Arabidopsis thaliana: one gene and its partners. The protein of the gene in region 1 interacts with the protein of each later gene in a pairwise test. Each region holds a gene or a part of one and is shown in the gene's direction. Other genes may lie near its edges.

The links.
Region 2: the proteins of CDC48B (region 1) and ATG8F interact in a two-hybrid assay, tested with the Arabidopsis thaliana proteins (one large-scale study listed by BioGRID).
Region 3: the proteins of CDC48B (region 1) and AT2G18860 interact in a two-hybrid assay, tested with the Arabidopsis thaliana proteins (one large-scale study listed by BioGRID).

Annotation. Positions count from the first base shown.
Region 1 is NC_003071.7:1,115,051-1,122,251, forward strand, and holds CDC48B (cell division cycle 48B), read left to right. Parts: upstream 1-2,434; 5' UTR 2,435-2,544; coding exon 2,545-2,706; intron 2,707-2,784; coding exon 2,785-2,829; intron 2,830-2,926; coding exon 2,927-2,982; intron 2,983-3,080; coding exon 3,081-3,230; intron 3,231-3,316; coding exon 3,317-3,421; intron 3,422-3,512; coding exon 3,513-3,612; intron 3,613-3,690; coding exon 3,691-3,957; intron 3,958-4,043; coding exon 4,044-4,213; intron 4,214-4,318; coding exon 4,319-4,447; intron 4,448-4,525; coding exon 4,526-4,616; coding exon of another isoform or gene 4,617-4,634; exon of another isoform or gene 4,635-4,696; coding exon 4,697-4,774; intron 4,775-4,852; coding exon 4,853-5,311; 3' UTR 5,312-5,408; downstream 5,409-7,201. Other genes in the region: AT2G03667 (Asparagine synthase family protein), read left to right, coding at 49-178, 260-508, 582-655, 729-825, 905-1,010, 1,092-1,185, 1,269-1,468, 1,552-1,651 and 3 more; SPR1 (spiral1), read left to right, coding at 6,348-6,629, 6,723-6,800; AT2G03690 (coenzyme Q biosynthesis Coq4 family protein / ubiquinone biosynthesis Coq4 family protein), read right to left, coding at 7,072-7,201. UniProt on the Arabidopsis thaliana protein: Probably functions in cell division and growth processes. Interacts with certain SNAREs as part of specialized membrane fusion events where vesicles from the same organelle fuse (homotypic fusion).
Region 2 is NC_003075.7:9,303,736-9,310,321, reverse strand, and holds ATG8F (Ubiquitin-like superfamily protein), read left to right. Parts: upstream 1-1,783; 5' UTR 1,784-1,976; exon of another isoform or gene 1,977-2,197; 5' UTR 2,198-2,208; coding exon 2,209-2,245; intron 2,246-2,339; coding exon 2,340-2,395; exon of another isoform or gene 2,396-2,832; coding exon of another isoform or gene 2,833-2,925; coding exon 2,926-2,978; intron 2,979-3,069; coding exon 3,070-3,188; intron 3,189-3,339; coding exon 3,340-3,440; 3' UTR 3,441-3,983; downstream 3,984-6,586. Other genes in the region: RGF6 (root meristem growth factor), read left to right, coding at 4,493-4,936; AT4G16510 (YbaK/aminoacyl-tRNA synthetase-associated domain-containing protein), read right to left, coding at 5,453-5,590. UniProt on the Arabidopsis thaliana protein: Ubiquitin-like modifier involved in autophagosomes formation. May mediate the delivery of the autophagosomes to the vacuole via the microtubule cytoskeleton.
Region 3 is NC_003071.7:8,161,248-8,167,694, forward strand, and holds AT2G18860 (Syntaxin/t-SNARE family protein), read left to right. Parts: upstream 1-2,694; 5' UTR 2,695-3,110; coding exon 3,111-3,193; intron 3,194-3,313; coding exon 3,314-3,404; intron 3,405-3,494; coding exon 3,495-4,085; coding exon of another isoform or gene 4,086-4,112; exon of another isoform or gene 4,113-4,156; coding exon 4,157-4,256; intron 4,257-4,377; coding exon 4,378-4,403; 3' UTR 4,404-4,759; downstream 4,760-6,447. Other genes in the region: AT2G18850 (SET domain-containing protein), read left to right, coding at 1-62, 132-423, 506-624, 711-843, 930-1,006, 1,094-1,288, 1,374-1,563, 1,643-1,815 and 2 more; VEL3 (vernalization5/VIN3-like protein), read left to right, coding at 6,224-6,242.

The DNA of each region.
Region 1 (7,201 bases):
TATGTAGCATTTTTTTTTACTTTCTCTAAGAGCATTTTTCTCTATCAGGAAAGCTCGAGAACGTTATGGTTTGGTAAAGATCCGTTTGGTCGGAGGAGCCTTCTTGTTCACTCGCCAACTGTGGAAGACCCTCGTTTTCTTCTATCGTCTGTTTCACCAGCTTCTTCAGTTTCTCAAGGTGCTGGTTTGTATTACTTAGTAGAGCAATTTTGTCTCTTTATGTACACTCCAAGCTCAAGTAACATCTGTTCTTTTGCAGGATTGGATACTGAAAATGGTAATAGCCTTCATAGATATTGGGAAGAGCTTCCATGTGGCGTGTACAGTATTTCTTTTGGGGTTTCAGAATTATGTATTCATGGTGAAGTTACAAAACACGAATGGAGAAATACCATCTGGAAAGAATTGATTGAATGGGAAAGGAAATTAGTTGTACCTAGACCTGAAGATCTATCAACGTCATCGCTTAGTGGAGTTCAGGAAGACAAATCTGTGTCAACTTCTCTAGGTACTGCTTAAGAATCGTTTGATTCCTCCAGTCCTGTCCAAATCTCAACATGTCTGACAAGGTTTAGCTTTAGGATTTGCGCAGACAGTTTTGGTCGTGTTAAAGGAATCAGTGAGGCGGCGAACTTCACTTCATAGCATTTATCAGGTATGAGCTTAAACTTGTTTTTTCTCTGAAGCTATGTGTTTTCTTCTGAACACCTTCGTATTGGCATAAACAGGGAGATAAAGAAGCTGTCCCAGTAGCTGTTCTTTTCTCTGGTGGATTGGATTCGATGATTCTTGCTGCGCTGTTGCATCAGTGCCTTGATCCAAAATGTAACCATTCCCCCACACTGTTTCTGTCTCGGCCAACAATTCTGAAACTAATCAAAAGAAGTAATATCTATTTCTTCAGATGAAGTTGATCTCCTTAATGTCAGTTTTGATGGTCCTAATGCTCCTGATAGGATCTCCGCCAAGGCTGGAATAAAGGAACTCAAAAAGATTGCACCTTTTAGAAGGTTGAACTTCAAAAGCCTTTTATGAAAAATGCATATATCTGTTACTATCTATGTTGATACAAATGTTTTTGGAATTTTCAGGTGGAAACTTGTTGAGATTGATGCTGATCTGTCAAAACTAGGCTTTGAGACAAAACGTGTTATGTCACTCATAAATCCTGCAGACACTTACATGGTAAACCTCAAAGTCTTGAGCATTGTGATTACATTCCTCCGAACTTGATGTGAATTATTCAATCTTTTTTTGCTATGTTCTAGGACCTTAACATAGGAACAGCATTATGGTTAGCTGCTCGTGGTGATGGTTGGATTCACGAAGATAATGGAAATCCAAGTGTAGAGGAAAATAACCAGCGGGTCAAGTATAAGTCCGATGCTAGAATCCTGCTTGTTGGCGCTGGTGCTGATGAGCAATGTGCCGGTTACGGTAGGCACAGAACTAAATATCGAAATGGAAGGTATATGATTCATTTATGTATACATTTCTTATGGATGTAAACTAATGTTAACCTCATCGCACAAGTTTTATTCATTTTTCCAGTTGGGTTGCGTTGGATCAAGAAATGAAATTAGATATGCAGAGAATTTGGAAAAGAAATTTGGGTCGAGATGATCGATGCATTGCAGATAACGGTAAAGAGGTATATGTCATCACGCCACAACCACAAACTCAAAAAAAAAGTTTATTCTTTGTGCTTTGTTCTTAAATCTTAAACGTTACTTGTTCAGGGGCGATTCCCGTTCTTAGATGAAGATGTGATAAAGACTCTCCTTGACATTCCCTTGTGGGAAATCGCTGATCTTGAGCAACCAAGTGGAACGGGAGACAAGAAGATTCTTAGACAGGTGAGTAATTAAAAAGATACCATTTTTACTGTAAGAATGCCTCAAGAACATTCCAGAAACTTCATAAACCTGAATTGTTGCGTAAAATCTTGAAGGTTGCAAGCCTGCTTGGTGTACATGAAGTTGCAAAGATGCCTAAGAGAGCAATTCAGGTAAGAAGAAGAGAACTTTCTGAGAGAACTCAGTTTCAAACGAGTAAAGTTGAAATCTTTTTGTTGTGAGCTCTCTCTCTCTCACTGTTGCTTTGGACTTTGGTTGTGGTTTTAGTTTGGATCAAGAATCGCTCGTGAATCAAACCGGAAGAATTTTGGAAGTAACCGTGCCGCAAACCAGGCTTCTGCCGGGAGCGTGAGATTCCTAGCACCGTCACACTAATTCCCTCTGATTCATGTTAGATCAATCATTGTTATACATTGTATCCTATACAAAGAGACATTCTTTCAATGATCTCAAAACTGGTTTGAACACTGAACACAAATGGACTAATAAGAGGACATGTTAAGACTTAAACCACTTGGTTCGGTATTTTGCTCAATTTCAAGGGTAAAATTGGAAAAATCACAAGAAAAACAAAAGCCCTAACATTATTGTCTAAAATCAATTTTCTCCTCCGGTGGTGATCTCTGTGCTCCGGCGCATAAACCCCTGTAAAGCCAATAACTTGTTGTTCCCCAAAGTTTGGTTCTTCATGTTGGAAACCGAAAGCAGTGTCTGCGACAACATCGCCGGCAATGAGAAATGGCGAGCGGAAGCTGAAATTGGTGGCAACGAGAGAGCTCTGCAAGCGCTTCGAGAACTCATTATCTTCCCTTTTCGTTACCCTCTCGAAGCTCGAACTCTTGGTCTCAAAGTACATATATCCACACCTCTGTTGGACTCATAGCTTCTCTCTTTCGCTTAATTTGCTTAATTTGACTTATCATTGCAGTGGCCTAGAGGATTGCTTCTCTACGGTCCTCCTGGAACCGGCAAGGTAAAAACTCTGTTTCTGTTTGTTGGATTTTTCAAAAAACTTTGATCTTGCAGAAGCTAATTCGACCGCTCTTGTATTGAAATTTTGGTTTTTGTAGACAAGCTTGGTCCGTGCTGTTGTCCAGGAATGTGATGCACATTTGATTGTTTTAAGGTACTTTGTTATGTAGCTTCTGTATAGTTTATGCTTTGGAGTAATAGAGGCTAAAGCTAATTTATGATTTGTCTTTGTTTGTCAAATACTCTGTTTAGCCCTCATTCTGTACATCGAGCACATGCTGGAGAAAGCGAGAAAGTCTTAAGGGAAGCTTTCGCTGAGGCTTCTTCTCACGCTGTTTCAGACAAGCCTTCTGTGATTTTTATTGATGAAATCGATGTTCTTTGTCCTCGTCGTGATGCTAGGTATTGCTTCACCCCTAGTTTATAGTTGCTATCTTCAGAGAGATCTTTAAGAGATTGAGAATAATCTTGTTCTCTTTAAAATGCAGACGAGAACAAGATGTTCGTATTGCTTCTCAACTGTTTACACTTATGGACTCAAACAAGCCTTCATCATCTGCACCAAGAGTTGTTGTTGTAGCATCCACAAATAGGTTCTTGTCTACCTTAAGCATAATATAAGTTGATTATCAACATTGGTTTTGAATGCAATGATCCAATGGTTTTCCCCGATCTTGTCAAAAGGGTGGATGCGATTGACCCAGCGCTAAGAAGAGCGGGACGATTTGATGCTTTAGTTGAAGTGAGCACACCAAATGAGGAGGATCGTTTAAAAATCCTGCAGGTAATTATCGAGTTCTTAAATGGGATTTTCGTATATAGTAAGTTTGTTTGTGATCTTCATGTTTTCTATTTTTTTCAGCTGTACACAAAGAAAGTCAATTTAGATCCTAGTGTCGATCTTCAAGCCATTGCAATATCTTGCAACGGTTATGTTGGAGCAGATTTGGAAGCTTTATGTCGTGAAGCGACAATATCTGCAAGTAAAAGATCTTCAGATTCTCTTATTCTAACATCTCAAGACTTCAAGATTGCAAAATCTGTGGTTGGTCCAAGTATAAACAGAGGCATCACAGTTGAAATCCCTAAAGTGACATGGGACGATGTTGGTGGTCTTAAAGACTTAAAGGTCAATACTTTTTAAAAATATTCATTTTGCACTTTGTTGTCCTGTTTTCTCCATTGCGATTAATGGTTTTTTTTTCCTTGTGACAGAAAAAGCTCCAGCAAGCTGTTGAATGGCCAATCAAACATTCAGCTGCATTTGTAAAAATGGGCATATCGCCAATGCGTGGGATACTTCTACATGGTCCTCCAGGTTGCTCAAAGACAACTCTTGCTAAAGCCGCTGCAAATGCTGCTCAAGCCTCCTTCTTTTCCTTAAGGTATAGATTTTGATAGATCACATTTAACAAAATCCCCCTTTGGTTGTGAAACTTGTTTAAAGAAACTTATTTTTTCTTGTGTCTTTGTGTGGGTGTGCGATGCAGCTGTGCGGAGCTATTTTCTATGTATGTTGGAGAAGGTGAAGCATTATTGCGGAATACATTTCAAAGAGCTCGACTTGCTTCTCCAAGTATAATATTCTTTGATGAAGCTGATGTCGTTGCCTGTAAAAGGTTTGTCTCTATCTCTCCCAACTCTTGCTTCGTGTTATAGACTCTTCTTAACATGTTTATTTCCTTGGGTCTTCGTAGAGGTGATGAGAGCTCAAGCAATAGTTCTACAGTTGGAGAAAGGCTTCTATCTACACTGTTAACCGAAATGGACGGTCTTGAAGAAGCAAAGGTAAACAAAAGCTCATAGGCTTTTAAAGATTTTATCTTTGTTATTGGGTTGCAATGATATTGATCGGGTTTTGGTTTAAGGGAATCCTCGTCTTGGCTGCCACAAACCGCCCGTATGCAATTGATGCTGCTCTAATGCGACCTGGTCGATTTGATCTCGTAAGTCCTCATATTGGATCTTTTGATCACACGAGTTCTGAAATAGCAAACCTCATTGCTACCCTCTTCTTGATTTAGGTGCTATACGTGCCACCGCCTGATCTAGAAGCCCGGTTTGAAATACTGCAAGTGCATACACGCAACATGACACTAGGAGACGACGTTGATCTCAGAAAAATCGCTGAAGAAACCGATCTCTTCACAGGTGCCGAGCTCGAGGGTCTATGCAGAGAAAGCGGAACTGTCTCACTTAGAGAAAACATCGCAGCAACCGCTGTCTTCAATCGCCATTTCCAAACCGCAAAAAGCTCGCTTAAACCAGCGTTAACAATCGAAGAAGTCGAAACTTATTCATCATTCAGGAAGGCGGCGAAAAGATCTGATTCGAAACCGATTCCGATTAACAAAAAGAAGGCGACTTCCACCGTCTTCGGATTCTCATGGCAATTAGGTGTTTTGAGCTTATTGTTGCTTGCTACTGGAAACTATTACTTCAACCACACTAAACATGAATTACTAGTAGCTTCTGCTACATGAGACTTGAAACAGCTCAAAGTTAAAAAAAGTTGCTAATTTTGTTTTATTCATAAATACCAAAATATCTTTTGTTTCAAAGTTCAAATTTTTAAATAATAAAACGGCTAATGATTATTAGATTCGAACAATGACAAAGATTGGCCATTACACATGAATGGCCCACGAACCTCACCACCGTCGTGAAATTTCTTTAAGCACCAATAATTTCACTGGTTATCTCTTACTAATTAATTACTTTTTACGTGTTCTAATCCAAATCAACAATAATTATCTGATATTTCTTCATAAACCGGTTTTGGAATTTAGCTGAAAGATGTGAATTTTATTTTGTCTTATTAATCAAAAAATTTGAAATCGTTTTGATTTCAATTAAACCGGAACCCTGACACTAACAAAAACCGGTCTGAGCTTATAAATAGAGTGGCTCGCTGATGACTCAGTTAGTCAGCTCCGAGTCTGCGTTTTACTTCTTCTCCTTGAGTTTCTTCTTCTAGATCTGATCGCGAATCACCAAAAGGTTTGTTTCTTAACCCCTAAAATTCCTCCAGATCGCTTTGATTTCGTTTCTCTGATGTCTTAGACGAAGTTAGATCGTAGATTCCTATGTTTTGATTCCTCGATCATGCTTCGAATTATGGTGTTTTTATCCTCAATTTTTGGAGATTTGGTTTCTACGGATTTTGTAGATTCAGGAATTTAGAAATGGTGATTCGATTTCAATGGTTTTAGATCTGATTCAGTCTTCACTCTTGTTCCACTATTTTGAAAATTGGCTAAAAACTAGGTTTCGTCGTCTAATTCTCCCGACGTTCTTCGAGAAATGTGAACTTTGAGGTGAAGATTTTGCGTTAGCATATGTGGTTTTGTATAATTGACGTTGCTACTATTCTGATTGTGAATTTTAAGCAGCATTCACAATTGAATTGAGTCTTCACTTTGTTCAGCTCTGAATCTATCATCTCTGAATGTTGGCAAGTTATAGTTTCTTATTATATTTCGGTGTTTTGGTTTGTTGTGCTAGGTTTTATTTTATACAATGGGTCGTGGAAACAGCTGTGGTGGAGGTCAAAGCTCATTGGATTATCTCTTTGGTGGTGACGCTCCTGCTCCTAAGCCAGTTCCAGCTCCTCGTCCCGCTCCTACTGAGTCTAACAACGGACCTGCACCACCAGTAACAGCTGTGACTGCAACCGCACTCACGACTGCTACTACTTCTGTTGAGCCTGCAGAGCTTAACAAGCAGATTCCTGCTGGTATCAAAACTCCTGTTAACAACTATGCCAGAGCTGAAGGACAGAACACCGGCAACTTCCTCACTGTACGTTTTCGTGTCCGTTTTACTCGAATACCCGTGAATCGAAATGGTAATGATACTCACTCACTCTCTCCCTTTCTCTGTCTATCTCTGCAGGACCGTCCTTCGACCAAAGTTCACGCAGCTCCGGGAGGAGGATCATCCTTGGATTATCTCTTCACTGGTGGCAAGTAAAATAATTGCAAAGACCTTTATCTATCCATTGTCTTTGCTGCGTTATCTCACTATGAAACTGTTTGATGTGAGCCTTTAAATGATAAGAAGTCGGTTTCTTGTCTCAACTCTTATCTGTAATATTTTGCTGAAAAAATGTTTGAATCAAAAACTTCCCAACTTGTCTCTTATTAACCATCAAATGCGAGTACAACTTTTAATCCAATCCACTACACATTTATAAGAGATTTGGCATAACTAAGTGATTCGAAAACAGATTAAACTAGAACCGTCATTTAGGATGTTGAGGAGCAGGGATGATTCCCCATTTTCTACGAACTTGCTCCAAGTCTTCACTAAAGTGACGCTCATAGTACACACACATGAGGTCAGTGCATTGTCTTCCAGCACGAACAGCCCAA
Region 2 (6,586 bases), on another chromosome or scaffold:
TATTTGATTAACAAATTTTAAAAATATTTGAGTTTTTGTTTTCCTTAACAAAGTTACCATGTGACTAATATATCTCTCCAATCTTAAGAGTTGGAGTTTGAAACTCTTCTTAACAGAAAAACTCTTTCATGAATGCGGTAAATCTGGAGCTACATGTATAGGTATGTGGAATGCATTTATATCAACCTTAGGCACAAATAGTGAATGCTTCAAAGCAATCCAAGTCTTTGAGAACATTCCTTCCACCTTGATCAAAACTCACTCAACATTTTGGAACGTGATGGTAACTTGTACACATGCTCGACAAACTGAGTATGGGCATTATCTTCTTGCAAGGATAGTCAAGACTCTATGGATAGAACCAACTATTGAAATAATGGGGACATATTTAGACGGCTTGGCTAGAGGAAAAGTGATTGATGAGGCATAACGAGTTGTCAAGACTTTGATTTTCAAGCCTAACTAGGAGATTGCTGTGAGTCTTTTATCAAAGTACAAAAGCCATTCAACACCCATTGAGTTTGCTAAACGTTTTGTGAGGTACCTTGAAGAGAAGAAAGTCACCTTCTACATTGCTGGAACGACTTATAAGGTACTAGACGAAGATGGGGTGGAGTGGAAATCTAATGTCAAGATTAAGAAACAGAAGAAAGGAAAATCCACAATCCACTCCCATTAGAGCAGTTCAAAGTACTATATATTGCTGCACAGCTAAATCATTCGTCAAAGGCATTTCTTAACCATGCTATTTGACCTGAGGTTACGAGAGTAAGGATATAATTGTATTGATTGTTTTGAAACAGTGAAATAAACATGAAAAAGTGCAGTGAAATAAACATGAAAAAGTGCATACTCCCACATATGTGCCCCATATGCTCTAACAAACTTGATAAGTGTCATACGTAGTGAGATACCCTTATATTTTTTTTAGCTTTTTATATACTATTGCTTACAAACCTTATTAATATAGTTAAATAATTAGGGTGGGCATCGGTTTGGATTAAGTAATGATTTTGGATAATGATTAAAAAATAATTTTGATTTTTTTTTCAACTTCAGAAAACTCAATCTTAACTTTTAAAAATGTTTATGTCTTTTCACAACTATAATATTTTATATCTATAAGTAAAAAACTTGTTAGAAAACTTATCTTACTTTGATAAAAGATTCATTTTGATTAATTATCTTTGTTATCCTGTAAATTCTCGGTTTTGACATTAATCACTCAATTCCGGTATTTTAATAAATTACAAAATGAGTTTTGTGCAGTGTTGAAGATATATTCTCAAATACAGTAATTGCTTTCAACCCTTGATTTCGAAATGCCTAAGCTTGAAATCCTAAGCTGTCCATACACCAAGACCTACATCTCCAGATCTCTATAACAGTCATAAAAAAACTTCTGCCTATACTTTATTTATTAGTTTTCATATTTCCATCCGTTTATTTGCAAGGCCCATTACTGCACTAGGCCCTACATTTTGTTAGAAGAGGCAAAGCTTATAAGCGACATTCTCAATTTCCAACTATTACCCTTCCGAACTCTTCACCTAACACACATTTTCTAGGGGTAAACGTGTCATATCGTATGCAGAAACGTGATCCCAGCATATCCGGTTCTTCTTTATCCTTTGTTGGAGGCAATATCTACGTAGACAGTTACCTCGTACACCTTCAGTAAAATGGACGGTTGAGATTCCTATTTCAGTAAATAGCTAATATCTACCGTCAGATTCTCACTGAACAGATTAAGCATACAACGTCAGCTGAAGTGTTTAGATGTTACCATACACCATCTGTAGAGAATCTCTGACCTTATCGCATAATTTTTTAATGTTTTGCAGAATTTTTGTAGGTTGCTTATTTGCTTTTTCTTTCATATTTTTTCGTTAATTGTTGTTGTTATCTTCAACGATAGCGTTGTGCTCTGGAGAAGTGTTTGATCGCAGAAAAGCTTCGTTCTTTGTAGTCTACAGGTTTGATCACTGAGTTCTTAACTTCTTTTTTGGTTTGATTGCGATCCTGTACTTTCGTTTAGATTACTTAAAGGTTGGGTCTTTAACATGATCGACTGATAGATTTGTGGGAATTTTGATAATCTGAGTTCCAGAGTTTGGGAATTGATGATTTGATTTGAGTGTTAAATTTGTTTTGATGGTTGTCTGATTGGTGTCACCTATTTGTTATGTGTGTGTAGGCGTGGAAGGAATGGCAAAAAGCTCGTTCAAGCAAGAGCATGACTTAGGTTTGGATTTGAGCTTTGTTCTTGCTTTACTGTTTGGTCCTCGAAATCAAAACCTTGTGCTTTGATCTAATGATCCTGTTTCCTAAATCTTCAGAGAAGAGAAGGGCAGAGGCTGCTAGGATTAGAGAGAAGTATCCTGATAGGATTCCGGTGAGACTTTCAGTGTCTCTCTTATACATTGATCGATCATACATTTCTAAAGTTATATGTGATTAGCATATTGTTTCCCTTTCTATGTTCGGATCAATCTTTTGTGTTTGACTGAGTTTATGCAGGTTAAGTTGTTGTGGTTTATGGCCCAGCAATATGGTAGTAATGAACTTATTGGGATATAATGAACTTATTGGGATAGCATCTGGTTTTAAATGGACACCCTACCCGACTAAAGGATGGTTATCAAGTTATTATTGTTTGATTAGCTTCATGCTTGTGATATATGTTTGCCACTGTTTCAACTACATGGAGTTGATTGAGTTATAGTGACTATAACAACATTAGGACTTTGAATTTAGTTGTCATTTTTTGGAACGTGACTTTCTGAAACTCGATTCTTACTGAGTACTTACGGCTTAGATAAGTAGATTTGCATGATTCATGTGGCTACGTGCTTTATGATTCACATGGTAAAAATGACACTTGAGATGATGATTTCCACGCATTTATATTTTTGTGGGATCCAGGTGATTGTTGAGAAGGCTGAGAAGAGTGATATACCAACCATCGACAAGAAAAAGTAAGCATATAAATGGCATCAGTATCCTTTTCATTCGGACCTGACTTGTTAATAATAGTGATTGATAACTAAGCTTTTTTCAAATTTGCAGGTACCTAGTCCCGGCTGATCTGACTGTGGGGCAGTTTGTGTATGTCATTCGCAAAAGAATCAAATTGAGTGCAGAAAAGGCTATCTTCATATTCGTGGACAATGTTCTTCCTCCAGCAGGTAAACAGATAGATCTCCTCTGTATTCAAGACTCAGGAGTTTCATTATCTTTTAACACAAGTAACAAGAGCATAAGAAGGCGTCTACTTATATGTTCCCCGGTGATTATAAATTCTTTATATTTGGCTGATCTGATCTGGTAACTTTGCAGGTGCGCTCATGTCTTCTGTGTACGAAGAGAAAAAGGATGATGATGGGTTCCTCTATGTCACTTACAGCGGAGAAAACACATTTGGATTTGGATCTCCATAATAGAGACCTCTTGCTGGATATTTCATTTTACTCCTCTCTATTTTCACCAAATATTTCATCTTCTTATTAATTACTAAGCAAGCAAGCCACCTATGTACTTATTCTCTAAGGACCTTTGGTCGGGCGTTAATATGTACAGAAAACATAAAATAATGTATATAATCTTCTTTCAAGGATCTAAAAACCTACTTTAGGTGAATCTATCACATCTCCCTCTTGACTTTGTTGTGTTTTTTTTGATGTCTTCAATCTATAAGCCGACATAACACGTCGCTTATGGCACATGGGCCATGACAGTTCCAAATTGCAAAGCCTAAGTGAAGAGAAGTTATATCACCAAACTCAATAGAAGTGCAAGCACAAGGGAACTGTGCCACGTGGCAGACATGGTCGGTACCGGTTGAAGGTTGGCCGGCGACGATCTTATAAAGGTCCCACATTGTCGTTGACGGAGAGAAGGAGGAGACGGTCGGACCATGCTGGCTTGTTTCTCATCTTACACTTTTCAATATTGATTTTTGTTTCATATATTTATTTGTTCACAGTTTTAGCTCGATTTATGATCGTCAAAGATTGTAATTCAAGGTTCCAACCGGTCACGTGGAACATGAGAGACGCGGTTGTGTTTTTGGGATTTTGGACCATTGAAGTGAAAGTTGAATGTAAAAGCTTTTCATAACTTGTGAGTGTTTTGTCCAAAGAAATCAATGTCAAATAGTGTAGTGATAAGAAGGTGATCGATTAGGACTTAAGAGAGTAAACACGTCGGTCATACAATAATGGCGTGGATGAAAAAGGTGAAGAACCGGAGAATAAGGTGAGCAAATGGAAGAAAGGAAAATGAGAATGCAGGAGATGATGACCCCACGAAGACTCTCAAGTAGACAAAAGGTTTGGCCGATCAAGACACCCATATACATACGATAGATATGTATGTTGAATGTAAAATATATTTGAATAATAGACAAGAGAGAAGATTAAAAAGAAATAAAAGAGAAGAGGAACAAGAGCATGTTATGATAATGAAGGACCCCTCCCCCCACCTGTATTTAATGCTTGTCTTACTCTCTTTACTCTCTTCTGCCTACAAATACTCTCCTTCCCTCTTCTCTTCTCTTACACCAATTAACAACATTTCAAACTTTCTTTGTCCTGCTCTAGTCTCATCTCCCTGTATACAGACACAGCATATATACACAAGTATCTCAAGAACAAGAAGAAGAATAAGAGAAGTCATGTCTTGCTCTTTGAGGAGTGGACTCGTGATAGTGTTCTGTTTCATTCTTCTGCTTTTGTCTTCCAATGTTGGATGTGCCTCTGCCGCTCGTCGTTTAAGGTCACATAAGCATCATCATCACAAGGTTGCTTCTTTGGACGTCTTCAATGGTGGAGAAAGGAGGCGGGCGTTGGGTGGAGTCGAGACAGGGGAAGAAGTAGTAGTCATGGATTATCCTCAGCCTCATCGTAAGCCTCCGATCCACAACGAGAAGTCTTAATTACCCGATCCATATATACCAGTCTCTCTAAATATATCATACTGTTATATGCATATGCATTCACCATGTTGGTGGTTGTAATGACTCTTGTGCTATCTCTATATATATTCATGACCAACTTCTTTGTTCTCTATTTCTCCTCGTATACAACAAACAAGGTGCTTCCTATTAATTACTCTGTTTCTTATGGGTATTGCATAAAAGATTTTCAACATTTGAGAAACAGAATTGTGAAAATTCTTCATTAAGCTTTGAATGTACAAGAGATCTTAAATACAGAAACTAAACCGAGCCTGAAGCTAAATCAACAATAACCAATCTAGAATAATCGACATGTAGACTCAAATAGATCTCTTTGCCGCCATTTTAGCTCCAAGTAGCACGTAACAAAAGTATCATTACAAAGAATACCAATGTGTATAAGAGATAAAAACCTTCATTGAAGCTAAAATCTTAAAGCTAAGCCTAACATTTCATAACAGGGTGATAAAAATAGTGTTATACATATTCCTGATTTCAACTGCAAGGAACAATGAATGGTTTCACAAATTCAAGGAATTCGGATGTTCTGACACCGAGCTTCAGATCGATTTCTCCACCACCCAACCAGAAGAAATCCGGTTTAAGTTTGGTTATAGCCTCATCCAATATAACCTGACATTTCCCAAAGCCCCCCCCATCCAACTCGTCAGTATCAATATATCGAAAGTTTATTTCAATTCAAAGCACGATTAGTCTGAATATGCCATGGAAACTCTAAACATGAATTAATACTAAACTCCATATCTCCACTATGAATGAATACTTCGAAATACCAAGTCAATCTGCACATATCCAATTGAGATCAAGTAATTCATCATGAGAGCATAAGCAACCTAACTAATTACCCTAAAGGGAAACTCATTTACTTAATTACTGAGGTCTAAAGATGATATTGAAAGACTCATGTGTCACAGTAGCACAAATAGTGTGTTGTCTGAAGTGGGCCAATTCCGGATAAGGAAAGGAAGATAAACACATCAATGCAGTAGGGTACGTGCCTAAGATTATATATACACAGACCAAAAATAACGCCATTTAAGTCTCTCTGACTGACACCAATTACTAACTCTCGCACTTGTAATGCAAAGAAGGTATTGAACTGTAAAAACGGAGGTTCTAATTTTTTACTATCAACGGGGAAAGTACTAAAGACAATGAGTGGGACAATCAGCAGCTGGCTCACACGGAAACTCTTAACTTCTGCTCTGTACCAATTCAAATTGTGTTATAATGCACCACACCCTCCTGTACAGACTAAGAGAAACAAAACAAGGCCAAACCTAGCTGTGTAACTCATTAGGCACTGGAACCTTCCGGGCCTCTAGGACAGGACAATAAACTATAGTGTCTGCAAAACGCTTGGCAAGAACATGTGTATGAAAGGGAAAACTCTCTGTAAATATTTCTCAATACAAAATACAACACGAAACTGTTTGTCTAGGAGAAGAAAACATAAGTGGGTAGAGGTTCCTCTCATACTACTCCTATGTCTAATATGTAATTAATAGTGTAGAGCAGCATTGAGCAAGCACGCCCAAAACATGTCAATAATGCATGATGTAGAAAAGTTGGCCAGCTTCAATCAAACAAAGATTTTTAAACCTATCA
Region 3 (6,447 bases), 7.0 Mb from region 1:
AACTGTTGAATGCTGCATTGGAAAAGTTGCTTCATTTTGGACGAATAGTTAATCTCGATAAGGTAAGCAAACATCGTAGGCCATTGTAATGCATGTGAAGTTGCTTAGATGATGGATTGAGTGAAATGCAGGTGGAAGTTTACTTTGGTGAGGATGCTTGCACTCCTGCAGGAATTTACAGTGTTAGAAACGAAATCTCAGCTCTCAGCTGGATCCTTTCGCTTATACCGGTTTCTTGTAAGATGCAAACACAAGTTGATACCTTTGAAGCTCTACGAGCTGCTTTAAAAGGTAGAATCAATGAGGTTGTTGGAGCTGAAAAGGAGAAAGCTAGAGTTGTTGATAGCTATAGATGCGAAAAGGAAAGCAAATTAGTAGAATGGGGTCAGGACAATGGAGTCAAAACCAAATTGCAGATAGCTCGTAAGCTTAACGGTTTTTTTCTGTTATGAAGTTATCAACAGAGATTTAAGTTTATGACAATGTGTTTTATAAATTTGGATAGAAATTGATGGCTATGGACGAGGAGCTATAGCTAGCGAAGACTTGAAATTTGGCGATGTTGCTTTAGAGATTCCAGTCTCAAGTATCATTTCGGAGGAGTATGTGTACAACTCCGACATGGTATATCATTTGAGTTCATCCTGATTTAAAGATTGCGTCAGTTTCATCATAGCAATGCTATATGATGAGTGTTCTCTTGTCTTCAGTACCCAATATTGGAGACGTTTGATGGCATTACATCTGAGACAATGCTGCTCTTATGGACCATGAGGGAAAAGCATAACCTGGACTCGAAATTCAAACCATACTTTGACTCTCTGCAAGAGAATTTTTGTACCGGTAAAATTGTTTGGAGAACTAAATATTCAATTCTTGTAGCAGTGTTTGTTTCAAAGAGACAACAAACATTGATTCTCTCATTGCAGGTTTGAGTTTTGGGGTTGATGCAATCATGGAGCTTGATGGTACATTGCTTTTAGATGAAATAATGCAAGCTAAAGAGGTGTGACTTGATCCCATCTCTTATCTTTTGGTTCTGTGATTTGTATTATGTTCTTGATTCCATTGGCAATTGTTTGTATATCTGCAGCTTTTGCGTGAGAGGTATGATGAATTGATTCCTCTTTTATCGAACCACCGGGAAGTATTTCCACCGGAGCTCTATACATGGGAACATTACTTATGGGCTTGTGAGTTGTATTACTCAAATAGCATGCAAATCAAATTCCCAGATGGAAAGCTGAAGACTTGCTTGATTCCTGTCGCCGGTTTTCTCAACCATTCTGTATGTGTCTTCTCTCGTTCTGCCTCTGGTATACTAAGTAATTCCTATCACTATCCGGAATATGATAATTTGGCGGGTTTTGCAGATATACCCACACATAGTGAAATATGGAAAAGTAGACATTGAGACGAGTTCCTTGAAGTTCCCAGTCTCAAGGCCTTGCAACAAAGGGGAACAATGTTTTCTTAGCTACGGAAACTACTCTAGTTCGCATCTGTTAACATTTTACGGATTTCTACCAAAAGGGGATAACCCGTATGATGTCATTCCCTTAGGTAGTTTAACCTTACCTCATTCTGAGATCACTCAGGCTTACATGCTTTTTTTGCTTTAAGTTGTATCTCTTCCTTGCAGATTTTGATGTCATTGATGATGAAGACATCGAGACCGAGTTTTCTTGGACAACTCACATGTTACGCGGGACTTGGCTATCGAGTAATCACAACATCTTCCACTACGGCTTGCCTACTCCATTGTTGAACTACTTGCGCAAAGCTCATGGTCTTGTTCATCATTCTGAAACAGATGTATATATTCTTCATCACCTTCGTATAACTACATCTATATCTCTATGAATCTAACACTTAAGATATTTTTCTCATTTCTTGATTCTTTTAAGTTATGGAAGAACTTGGAAGTTGAGATAGGAGTACTTGAGAATCTCCAATCCACATTCGACGACATGATGCAAAATCTTGGCGATGCAGATTCTATCGACAGGTATCAGTAGTTGTCTTGTCATGATATACAAAAGCTGAAACAGAGTGACCAATTACTTAGTAATCCGTCTGGTTTTACACTTTTACAGAGAAAACGCGGATTGGGATGTTAAACTAGCGATGGAGTTCAAAGAGCGGCAGAGAAAGATTGTCTCATCCATTCTTGATTCATGTTCTGCAGGTATCAAACTAGTTCAAGAATCCATAACTAACCCACCGGTTTAGCTAAGGTAGAATGAGATGAGAACCTGATCTTGGATTCAGCTTATACTGTATTATGAAATGTATCTTCTTGACAAAGTTAAATTGTGTGAGTTAAAAGACTTTAGTTCAATTTTAGTTACATTTTAGTTACATTTTAGTTACATACTTCCTCTGTTTAATCTCATTAGACACCTCTTTTTTTCTTGCTTATATAATTGCTTCATATCCACGTAATCTCATTAGACACCTCTTTATATAATCTCATTAGAATTTATAAATTTATGTACTTACGTACGTACGTACGTGTGCGACTAACCCTAGACAAATTAACCGAATACTCTTTTTTTTGCAAATGCATCACGCATGGTACCCTAATAGTGGTGTCTCCATCATTTGTCATTACTTTCTGAATGCAAAATGAGTAATCAGATTCATTAACATTTGACTAATACTATATTTTCTCATATTTTTTGTGGGCATAGAGAATTATCAGTATTTTGAGCATATTATAAAAGTAATCTCAAATGGGAAACATAACAAATAATAAAAAAGAATGAAAAAGTTGATGTGGCTGCTGGTGGCAGCAAATTGGCGGACCCCATCTTCCAGGTTACATTCTTGTCGTTTTCCAGCTTCTTAACACAGAGCTATAATCTCATGCACCAAAGAGCATACTAATATCCTATGTCTCCGAGTAATAATCAGCCACGTTTCTATAATAGACACAAGTTGGTGTGACACTGACAAGAAAATAAATAAGATTTATAGAAAGTGGGAACAGAACACAAAAAAAAAGCTGAAACAAAGAGTTCGAGAAAAATTTCGATTCTCTTGCTCGTAAAAGCTTCTTTTGATTCTCTTTGACTCTGTTTTGTGGATAGCTCCTGAAGAAGAAGAAGATGATGGTAGTGAACAGCTTTGATCTATGGCAAAAAGATGTTTTCTTCTCTGCAGCTGAAGAGGTTCAAAAATCTACAGATATGTATGGTTTCTTGTTAGATTTTGATCTTGTAATCTCTTCTTTGAGCTTAGCTTTTGATCTTGCATAAATTAAGAGATTGAGATGTGTTTAATTTGCTATTGTTCTTTACTTGGATTTTAGAATGGAGTCTGCTTATAGATTGTGGATTAGAGAGAAGAAAGATGAGATTTGTAAGGAACTTCAAGCAGCTTTAGGTACAGCTAAATGGCAGGTACAATAATGTTTCTTGAAACATTTCTGGTTTAGTTGTGTTCTTGTTCTTGTCTAGTTCTTGAAAAGTTTTGAAACTGTGTTGAATCAGTTGGAGGAGTTTGAGAAGGCAGTGAGATTGAGTCATAAACGGTGTGGGGATAATGATTCTTCATCCACACGGCATAAACAGTTTGTTACCGCTATTGAAAACCAGATTCATCGCGTAGAAACTTCTCTGCAAGAAGCTTATAGTGAAAATGGGAAAAAGCCTCTCCGTTGGGTTGATCTTAATGAAGAAGAGCGTGATGACTTAGCAATGTTTCTCTCTGGATCTTCTCGAACTTCACAGAGTTTTAGTGGTGAGAGCAGCATCAAGTCGAGAGAGTCTACTAATAGTTCTCTAGTTGAAAACGTTATGGAAGTTTCAGCTAAAGTAACATTCAAGAAAGCTAAAGTTTATGGTGATGGCTCTGAGTGTGTCATAGACATTGAAGAAAGAGTGACACCTGGCCAAGCAGAGAAATCAGTTGGGCTGAGAAGAATATGGAGTTCACCAAATTTCAATTCTTTGAGAATTATAGTTCCTGGTGGTGATAATGAAGAAGAAAAGGAGACATTGGTGGCACAAATAGAAGCGACGCCTAAAGTTAAAGGAACTAAGTCTGTATTGTGGATGCAGAGACTTCCTGATCATAATCAGGTGAGTGTGTTGATATATAAGCTTTAGTCATGGTAGGAGGAAGTAACTTACTTGTTCAGTGTTTTTTTCAGCTCTTTGACAAGACCGGTTGCTTTCAAAATCCGATACGCTTACCGTTTAATCACCCGATCAAGTTTATTGTTTCCTTATTGCTAATGGTGTTTCTACTATGTGAGTCACTTCAGTTTTTTTTCTTAATGAATCAATACTTTGCTAAATATATAGATTTTGGTCTTGAGCTTGTTAATATTGCTAACGAGCATTGCTTTTTCCCCTGTTTAAACCGATGCAGTACCCTTCGTAGTGTATTTGTCTTGAGAATTTTACCACGGTTCGAAACTGTCAAGAAGCTGCTAAAGAGATCAGCTTTCGCGTCTAATGGTTAGGATTCATAATCCCACAAGAACAAACAGAGATTAAAAAGCTTTACATATGTTACTTTTAACTTGTTGCTTTGGTTCTTCAGGGAACGTATAGAAACATTGAAACGTGTAAGATTAAGTAAAGGGATTAGAGTTTATATTACGGCTTTGGCTACCGTTGATAAAGATGTAAATGCAATATTCGTTTCGTAGATGTTTGACAATACAATGCCATAAGAATCAAGATTTATGCCATGTTTTTATGAACAATTTCTTAACTACATTTCAAAAGAGTTTGCTCTCTAAACCAACAACTTGGAATCTTGGTACTTGGATTTTGTCCCTAACTTTATATTGGGCCTCTAACTTTATGACCAAAGAAGGTCCAAGTTTTGTTAGTACAAAAAAAAAACAGTTTACATACATCTCTCAGTCACCTCCATTGATTATGCAGTAGAATCTGCCTTGTACACTCACAAAAAAATATAATAAATTTTACTTTTTAAATAAAATAAACGTCTTTGTTATGATAAAATTTACATCTTTTCTATAGAATCCTTTCAATATTTTATATTTTAAAGACAGTAAATTTATATAAACTTATCATAAATAATTAGTATGATTTTATAATTTAAGAGATTATTATACCTAACTCAGAAATTGGATTTCAAATAATAATATACTCAAATAAACGTTTGTATGCTATATTATACAGTAAAACCTCTATAAATTAATAACGTTGGGACTACAAAATTTTATTAATTTAAAGAGGTATTAATTTATTGATAAATTAATATTTTATTAATTTATAGAGAGATTTTTCCAAATTTAGTAATTTTTTACAAATTTTTATAAGATTTCTTTCATTATAGAAAATATCTTTCTAAAACAAGTTACAAATAAAACATAATAATAATGTATAAAACATAATAACACCAAAAGTTTTAATACAGTAAAATATGAAAATTATAGTCAAACAAAGAACAAATATGAATTTAAGCAAAAAATTATTATAAATCTATTTTAAAGAATTTTTATACATAATATATATATATATATAATTGATACATTTATATAATTATTAACTTATGATATTGATGGGACCATATATTTACATAGAACTTTCAAAAAAATTATTATCTTATTGATTTATCGATTTGTGTCACTTTTTACATTAGTCCTAACTCGTGACTGGAAAAATTTATTAATTTTTTGAGGTTCTACTGTATATAATACTTAAACTGATTAATGAGATATATCCATTTAATAAATTTATAAATAAATTTAAATTAAAAATAAAATGGAATGATAAAGATTTTTTTTAACAGAGTTTTCTAGCACTTAATCTTCTTTGCTTCCCTTTATTTACCATAACCACAATTCTCATCTAATTGTCAAACCTTGATCTTCAACTCAAATTGAAGCTAAACCATGTTCTTAAACTTGACATGTGTTTTAAATAAATACCACTTTGTTAACACAGTTTTTAATCAACACTATATTCTGCCAGACTGCCATCATATCATTTTTGCAAGGAAATTTTCTCAATATGATTATCTACCTAAATGATACTATATTTTAACATATAAGGTTACGTTTTGATTCTGTAGTTTATGGAAGAATCCTTATAATATTATTCCTAAACTACCTTCCCTGTTTTATTTCTACTCAAAAACCCTTTTTTTTTTTTTTTTTTTTTGTAAATCTCACTTTCTTCTTCTCTCTTCAGGCTGTGAATATTCTGATTTCTGACTAAGCTCTCTACAATTCTCTCTCATGGCCTCTTCTCTCGACGGTAATTTTCTTTTTGGGACAGTTTTTAGAAATTTAGTGCTTTCGCTTTAAGATGAAGCCTTGGACTTGTTAGAGATTTTTTTTTCTTTTTCAACTCTTGATGATCGGCTTATATATAGTGATGCTTTTACTCATAATTTACTAGTGAATTTTTATTATCGTGTTTTACTTTTCAAGATCAATTTGTTGTTTGCTTAATTTGGTAA